2 linked regions of the Coturnix japonica genome follow. Each later gene encodes a partner of the first gene's protein in a complex. Links are inferred from orthologs where the notes say so. Each region holds a gene or a part of one and is shown on either strand. Other genes may lie near its edges.

What was found.
Region 2: the proteins of CSTF3 (region 1) and CSTF1 are in contact, whole or in part, in a crystal structure (PDB 6B3X), measured with the Homo sapiens proteins. The link is inferred for Coturnix japonica from reciprocal best matches to the Homo sapiens genes CSTF3 and CSTF1. Residues at the interface, in NP_001317.1 of Homo sapiens: Tyr581, Pro582, Lys583, Pro584, Asp585, Thr586, Gln588, Met589, Ile590, Pro591, Phe592, Pro594; in NP_001028693.1 of Homo sapiens: Arg118, Glu216, Ala217, His226, Pro227, Ser228, Asp230, Phe231, Thr240, Arg242, Leu243, Tyr244, Cys251, Phe252, Val253, Ser254, Cys255, Tyr270, Ser272, Ser273, Ala274, Asn275, Gly291, Val292, Ser293, Asn294.

Annotation. Positions count from the first base shown.
Region 1 is NC_029520.1:4,222,071-4,225,890, forward strand, and holds part of CSTF3 (cleavage stimulation factor subunit 3), read left to right. Parts: intron 1-384; coding exon 385-501; intron 502-1,065; coding exon 1,066-1,140; intron 1,141-2,405; coding exon 2,406-2,549; intron 2,550-2,640; coding exon 2,641-2,743; exon of another isoform or gene 2,744-3,113; intron 3,114-3,227; coding exon 3,228-3,297; intron 3,298-3,820. UniProt on the Homo sapiens protein: One of the multiple factors required for polyadenylation and 3'-end cleavage of mammalian pre-mRNAs.
Region 2 is NC_029535.1:10,848,815-10,852,734, reverse strand, and holds the end of CSTF1 (cleavage stimulation factor subunit 1), read left to right. Parts: coding exon 1-186; intron 187-914; coding exon 915-1,112; intron 1,113-1,644; coding exon 1,645-2,035; intron 2,036-2,661; coding exon 2,662-2,921; 3' UTR 2,922-3,575; downstream 3,576-3,920. UniProt on the Homo sapiens protein: One of the multiple factors required for polyadenylation and 3'-end cleavage of mammalian pre-mRNAs. May be responsible for the interaction of CSTF with other factors to form a stable complex on the pre-mRNA.

The sequences.
Region 1 (3,820 bases):
TGCTGATAGCTTTTTATTTTTCCCTTGTTTAATTGCTTTAACACGGTGTATCGTTATTAATGTTTTCTCAATTGATATCCAAGGGGGGGGGGGGGGGGGGATGAAAAATCTCGAGCATCTGAAGTTTTGTTGCATTCTGTATTTTTAAATATGGAGCTATTTTAATGTAAAAACAACAAAACAACCCTGAATCTGGGTGATATGAATTACAATAACCTGCTGTGGAGTTGTCTGGTTTAAGGTTGGGGTTTGTTTCTGATTCCTTCCGTACCGGGGAGATGAGTGACTCCTTATGAGGGCGCTCAGTGGAACTTGTTGTGTAGAAGAGCTGATCCATGGGCGGGCTGCAGGCGTTGAACTATTGTCGTGTTTATTTTATAACAGGACATGAACAATGCTAAACTTTTCAGCGATGAGGCTGCTAATATTTATGAGAGAGCCATCAGCACTTTACTAAAGAAGAATATGCTTCTCTATTTTGCGTATGCAGATTATGAAGAGGTGAGCAAAGAGTGCAGTAGTGCCATAAAACCCACAGATATCTGTCTTCGATATGGTTGTATTCCTGAAACATACCAAATAGACAATCTGAGCATTTTACTTACTGATTCTTCTGACTTTCATCCAATGATTCTGAGACTAGGCAGGCGAAATGGGGAGAAAATAGTGTTAATTGTTTTGAAAGCGTAATGTCTTTCTGCTTCAATGTTAACTCTTCAGCTTCACAGCAGTTTGAAAAATGAACTGAGTAGTTTACATTTACCAGAGCATCAGTTTCTTCACTTACAAAATAGGATAAGAGACGTCCCATCGATCAGATGAGGACCAATGCATCCACAGTGGGGTGTATTCTGCCCACTTATTGTGCCTTGAGAGTCTTTGCAGGAAGAAATGGAGCATAACAGCAAACAAATCTTCAGCCTTAAAGAAAAAGGCTCCCTTGGCTTTCAGGGCAGCCTTGAGTATGGGCTCTTTTTCTTTACTTCATACTGATCTTTGCATCCCCACAGGTGGTTTGTAGCAGTGTTACTAAGCAGTCTGTATTTCCCTTTTATGTGCTTTTAGAGTCGAATGAAGTATGAGAAAGTGCACAGCATCTATAACCGGCTCTTGGCTATTGAAGACATCGATCCCACTCTGGTAAGATGATCTCCTGTATTGGGTTCTTCCACATTTGCATCTCCACCTGAGTACACCCACCACACTGACCTGAGTTCTTTGGGTCACAAGGAGAGCTGAGCAGGTGGAGTGCTGAGATGGCAAAACTGGATTAGAATTTCAGCTGCTTTGGTAACTTCAGGCTGTCACCCATCCAGACACACCAAGTCACGCACACTTTTATCCTCTGTGTCTTTTGGACAATCTCTTCAAATAAATTATGGAGGTGTCACGTTTTATAAGAAAGCTCCTAAGAATTGGTGCAGCTAAAATCTCCCTTTGCCTCCCCTGAACAGACTAAAAGCACGTCGCTTTCGTCTCTTGCCTTTCTTAGAGAAATATATTATTCTGTTTATAAATAAGCTTGCCAAGAAAATTGTAGTTCACCACGTAGCTATCAAGGTGTATTGCTGTGCATCTACCTTTGTTGTGCTGTAACAGCTTTGTTCCCAGCGCCAGCTGTGCTGGTACAGAGCAAATAGGCTGAGAGCTAACCTAACTGACTTAGTTTGTAATATAGATGTGACAAAGCAGAAATAAAAAGGTCTGAGGTCTAAAATTAAGCAGGTTGGTGCCAGAGGAAAGGTATCCATTTACTGACGTATTCTATTCATTAAGCAAAGATTACAAAGCTTTCCTTACATGTGTACTCTGAGAAGGCACAGAGCAGCCCCTCCCATTGGAGGAATGCAGTTATTTGTGATCTAATTGTGAGTGGAGCAAGAAATGCAAATGACGGGATTAACCCATGAAATTAGATAGGACATTCTTTACATTTTGATCAGGTGTAGCTATTTGCAGACAGCACAACCTGTGTCTTGGGTTCCATAATGAAGAATAAAAGGCTTCCATGGGCTTTTTGCCTGTTCTTTAGCCCTGTGGGTGTCTTTGCTTCTTGGAAAGTTGTTATTTCTACAGGAAATCCTCTTTCTCAGGAGGTACAAGCTTATGGGAATCGCGTTTATCTACTTCCCCTGCCTTGAGGAAAGTGTGTATGAATGTGTGTATGAACTGTTGTCACTCTGGGGGATTGGTCTGAGGTCTTTTCCATTTTTCAAATCAGTATATGGAAAATACTGCCTCGTTTTTAGCATAGCAACACAGAGACACAAGACAGTCCTGTTTGTTTCTTAGACAACCTGTTAGCTGTAATTTGTGAGTAAGGATTATTTCAGGTCCAGCCACAAACCGCATATCCTAGCACTCTTTGTTATCACTGCAGCTAGTGTTCATATGCTCCCTTCTAGGTTTATATCCAATACATGAAATTTGCAAGGCGAGCAGAAGGCATAAAATCTGGAAGAATGATATTTAAAAAGGCAAGAGAAGACACCCGGACCCGCCACCATGTCTACGTCACTGCAGCATTAATGGAGTATTACTGCAGTAAGGTAAGTATAGGTGCTCGGCTTGCTATTAAAGAAGCATGGGATAGCATGCGTCTCACTGAAGCTTGGAACTTTTTCTTTTTAACGTTTGCAGGATAAATCTGTGGCCTTTAAGATTTTTGAGCTGGGGCTGAAAAAATACGGAGACATTCCAGAATACGTACTGGCATATATCGACTACCTGTCTCACCTTAATGGTAAGCTTCACACACTGAGATGCACAAGGAAGCAGTAGGCTGTGTCCTCTGTGAGCTGAATGTAGGTAGATCTTTGTTCTTCTGCCACCTGTAAGCATAAAGACTGTTTTATTTCAAGTCAGAGTGACAGTAGTTATGTAAGAAGTTGTTGTAGGTCTCTGTGAATAAACGCAAGGCCTTTCTTCAGTTTTCCATCACTGCTCGTTGGGGACTGAGAATTTCTGGTCTAATAACTATGGAGGAATATACAACAGAGACACTGCCCTCATTTAAAAGGGGTGTAATGAACTGAAGGGCCCAAATAAGTTACTGAGATACGCTATATATCGTATCCACGTTTGGATTTTGTTCCAATTACTGACAAACAAATCAAGGTATCAGAATGTCAGTCTTCAATGCAGTATCCACACTGAAATGTGATGTGTTTTACTCAGAGTGATTTTTCTTTCTTTCTCTTTTTTTTTTTTTCCTTCTCTTTTTAAAGAGGACAACAACACAAGAGTTTTGTTTGAGCGTGTTTTGACTTCAGGGAGCCTCCCGCCTGAGAAATCAGGGTACGTCTGCCAAAGCTGCTTCACTGCACTGAATAAAGCACTTTCATGTACAAACAGCACAAAGTAACAAGGGAAAAAGAAAGACCAGCGGGACAAAATTAGCCACACATATTCCTTTTCTCCCTTAATGCCATCCAAATAGCAGCCGAGCTGATTTGTGCAGGTTCCCATCCCGCTTGCAGAGACATTCATTCATTTGTTGATTTTAAGACCTTGTAGATGTGGAATTGTTGAGGATAAAGTGCAAAATCCTGTAGCGTGGTGAGAACTCAGTAGTTTTAGTAGGTGGTGTGGCTTATGCCACATGTTGCTCACTGGTGCTTTGGACAGATGAGGATAGGGAGCTGAGGGTGTCCCTCAGAACCATTAGATTTAGAGTTTAAATCATCGTCTGTGCTGAAAATCCCTCATGTGACAGGGTCACAGTGCAATTCTGTTAGCAGAGGAGCAGTCTGTACCTCTGACACTGATAAAAGCATACCTCCATACCTCAGGTGCTGAAGGTGCTTCCTCTGTTAATCCT
Region 2 (3,920 bases), on another chromosome or scaffold:
GATGTACAGACCATGTCTCCTGAGGCTTCTGAGTATGAGACTTGTTATGTCACATCTCATAAGGGACCGTGTCGTGTAGCAACGTATAGCAGAGATGGACAGCTAATAGCTACAGGATCTGCTGATGCCTCAATAAAAATTCTTGATACGGAGAGAATGCTGGCCAAAAGCGCTATGCCCATAGAGGTAAAATATGACTTGAATCATAGTCACTGTGTGAATTCTTGAGCTGATGTCTCTGTTTCGTGCCATGTCTGTGCCTTGTGGCTGGCTCAGTGGGTTGGACTAAATATCTGTCTCAGTGTATTTCCTATTCCAACAATGGCTTATAAAGTACCCTTGAAGAACAGGTAGAAGACACGGAGCAAGTGTACCTGTGTCACCTTGCAGCATTCTAGAGAGCTGAGCCAGAAATTGCTTCTAATAGATGTTGATAATCTCTATTACCATGCAAACAGTTTGGTTATGAATCTACCTTCATATCTGACCTTCCAAGTTCACAGTGGCTGTTTCAGTACTGTTTCACAGAGCACATATTTGCTTCCTTTACTTTTTCTCTAGCATGCTTATCTGCCAACAGTTGAAGGGGTTTTTTTGGGTTTGTCTTGAGTTCTTGTTATTTTTTTCCACTGAATGCACACCAGATTTACTACATGATCCTTGAGGTCCCTTCCAACCCGGGTCATTCTGTGATTCCCTGCAGTACTTTTGTAAAGATACTGGGATGTTATTTCATAAGAATTCATAACTGTATAAAGGTATCACGTCTTCAGATAATTAAGATAAGTGATAACGTACCAAGTCATATGTCAGAAAAGGTAGTGATATAATCACTCATGCAAGTGAAAATAGTACGTTCCCTGTCAAAGGAGTGTTCTGCCTTCTAACTCTAACTTGTTCAATGTTCTTTGTAGGTCATGATGAATGAGACAGCACAGCAAAACATGGAAAATCACCCTGTTATTCGGACTCTGTATGATCATGTGGATGAAGTTACATGTTTAGCTTTTCATCCGACAGAACAGATCCTAGCATCTGGTTCAAGGGACTACACACTTAAATTGTTTGACTATTCAAAACCTTCTGCCAAAAGAGCCTTCAAATACATACAGGTTAGATACAGTCATCCAATTCAGAGCAACCAAATCTTGAATGTGTGATTATTGAGGTGTCAGTGAGCTGAATTGCATCAGGGTATGCAAGTGGTTGGGTACATAGGAGTATGCAGCTACAAAATGGGCAGACCTGCTAGTAATGCATTGTGAGTTTGTGCATAATGGATAGCTATACCTATAGGTGTAGTCTTAGAATCTCATGGATCTAATATGGATGACTCTGAAGTCAGCTGCATTTTCTTGGTTCTGGAGACAAGTTTGTGATTATGTGGTGGCTGACAAAACCTGCTGCTGTTGTACACTATCTGATGGATGGGCACAGCAAGCTGCTCTAGGGCAAAAACTATGGTACATTTCAGTGTGACCTGACAAATAATACACAGGGTGTTTTCTATTCTGCAGAAATAGAGCATGTGCTGATTGATAATGTAGTTTATTTTTTAGCATTTTAGTGCCACCAGGATTGCCACTTCAATTTTTGCTTTTTCTTTTTCAACTGACACCAATTATGTATTTTTTGATCAAACAGGAAGCAGAGATGTTGCGCTCAATCTCTTTCCATCCTTCTGGAGATTTCATACTTGTGGGTACCCAGCACCCTACTTTACGACTCTATGATATCAATACTTTCCAGTGTTTTGTGTCTTGCAATCCTCAAGATCAGCACATCGATGCCATATGTTCAGTCAATTACAACGCCAGTGCAAACATGTACGTGACGGGCAGTAAGGATGGATGCATCAAACTGTGGGATGGTGTTTCAAATCGCTGTATCACTACTTTTGAGAAGGCACATGATGGAGCTGAAGTCTGTTCTGCGATTTTCTCCAAAAATTCCAAGTATATCTTGTCAAGTGGAAAAGACTCTGTAGCTAAACTGTGGGAGATATCTACTGGTCGGACGCTGGTCAAGTACACAGGTACGTGGCAGCTGACCTTCCAGGGACCTTTATCACGTGCTGGCCAGTGAGCAGGTGGTGTATGAAGAATGAGATGTTACTGCTGTTACTCATAAGGAGAGACTGCTTTTGTGAGGATAAATGGCCCCAAAAGTTGAAAATGTACAATACTTCCAGAAGAAAAGCTGTGTCAGTGTCAACCTATTTAACTTGAGCAATGAGTTACATGACTGGGGTTAGCTTTCGGATAAAACAGTCATGTGCTTAACATCTGGGGTCATAACACGACTGTAGAGTGGGTGCTGGTGGAAAAGAACCGGATATCACTGTTAGGATGTGTGCAGTCCTTGTGCACTGGCTGTGTTTGCTGCCAACCAGCAGGGTGCAGCACCTCCTCGATAAAGACTTGCAAATACCCGGTGGGATGCAGCAGTGTATTCCTTGCAACATAAATGTGTAAATGGGAAACAGATTCTCTTTGAAGGGAGAGGTAGAGGTGTGGCTGAAGTACATCATGAGGCACGTTAGGTGGCCTGCATGTTAAAACCAGAAGTTATTAACGATAATGAGAATCTGTGTTTTTGGGTCATTGGGGAGAAAAACTAAAAGTGATCTTATTTGGTTTGTATTTTACTTCACGTATTCAGGAGCTGGTTTGAGTGGACGTCAGGTGCACAGGACACAAGCAGTCTTCAACCACACGGAAGACTACGTGCTGCTGCCAGATGAAAGGACCATAAGTCTCTGCTGCTGGGATTCGAGAACTGCTGAGCGAAGAAATCTCCTTTCTCTTGGGCACAACAGCATTGTCCGCTGTATTGTCCATTCTCCCACCAACCCCGGCTTCATGACCTGCAGTGATGACTACAGGGCTAGATTTTGGTACAGAAGGTCAACAACAGATTAAGGACACCTTTATAAAAGAATGATTATCCAGATTCCTTATATCATCTTCTATTGATTGTACTGCCAACAGATGCCTAAGTGAGAGCTACGCTGTGTCTGGTTTTTGTTTTGTGTTTCTGATTCTGTCAGAGGGCAGAAAAATATTGAAATACTGAAACTGAAGTTTTGCCCCACGCTAATTTTTTTTATTAGTGTGCGTGGCATTAATTTTTTTTTTTTAAAGTCATCTCTGATTTTACTCAAGGAGTTGGGGTGTGGAATAAAATGATCCTTGCAGGAAGGATTAAACTTATTCTCCTGTCTTTCTGAATCCTGTGAAAGATAATGTGACTAAATCTTGCTCAAACTGGGCAGTGTGAGCCGGTTTTGCTCTGCATTGTATCTGTGCAATCCCCCTAAAGTCTGTTTAAAGAATGGATTACACGAGCGACGGTAGAACTCGGCGAATGTTTTAATGAAGCCTTAAGCCATCTTCGGTTCCGATTCACGCTTTGAAGCTCTTTTATATCTTTCAGTTTCTTTCCCTCAGTTGGCCAAGTGGGCCTCTGGTTCTGAGCCGGTTTTGTGCCATAAGAATTTGAAACGTGGTTTTAAATTGTTTAGATGAATTGAAGAAATGGTGTTCTAGTTCTGATATTAAAGTTCAGACTTGAAATCTCGTCTTCTTTACAATTTATCTTAAGTGTAATCTTTAAAGTAAATTCAAGGAATATTCATACTGAAGCTATTCAATGTGGCAGTGCTGCAGCATATGGAAATGAGAGTAACCTGGCTATAGAGTCCCTTTAGTAACTCCTCTGAGAAACTTGTAACGTTGATTTTCTTCATATATGTATGTCGGAAATGTAAATGTGCTTCATTTAGGAGTTCTCATTCCATCAGTCTGTTAGACAGGAATTGAGACACTTTGAATTTAAAAACAGTCTCATTGTTTCTTCTACCTGTTGTGTCTGATAGTCGGAGTTTCCCAGATCTTACTGTGTTCATTACAAGTACAGAG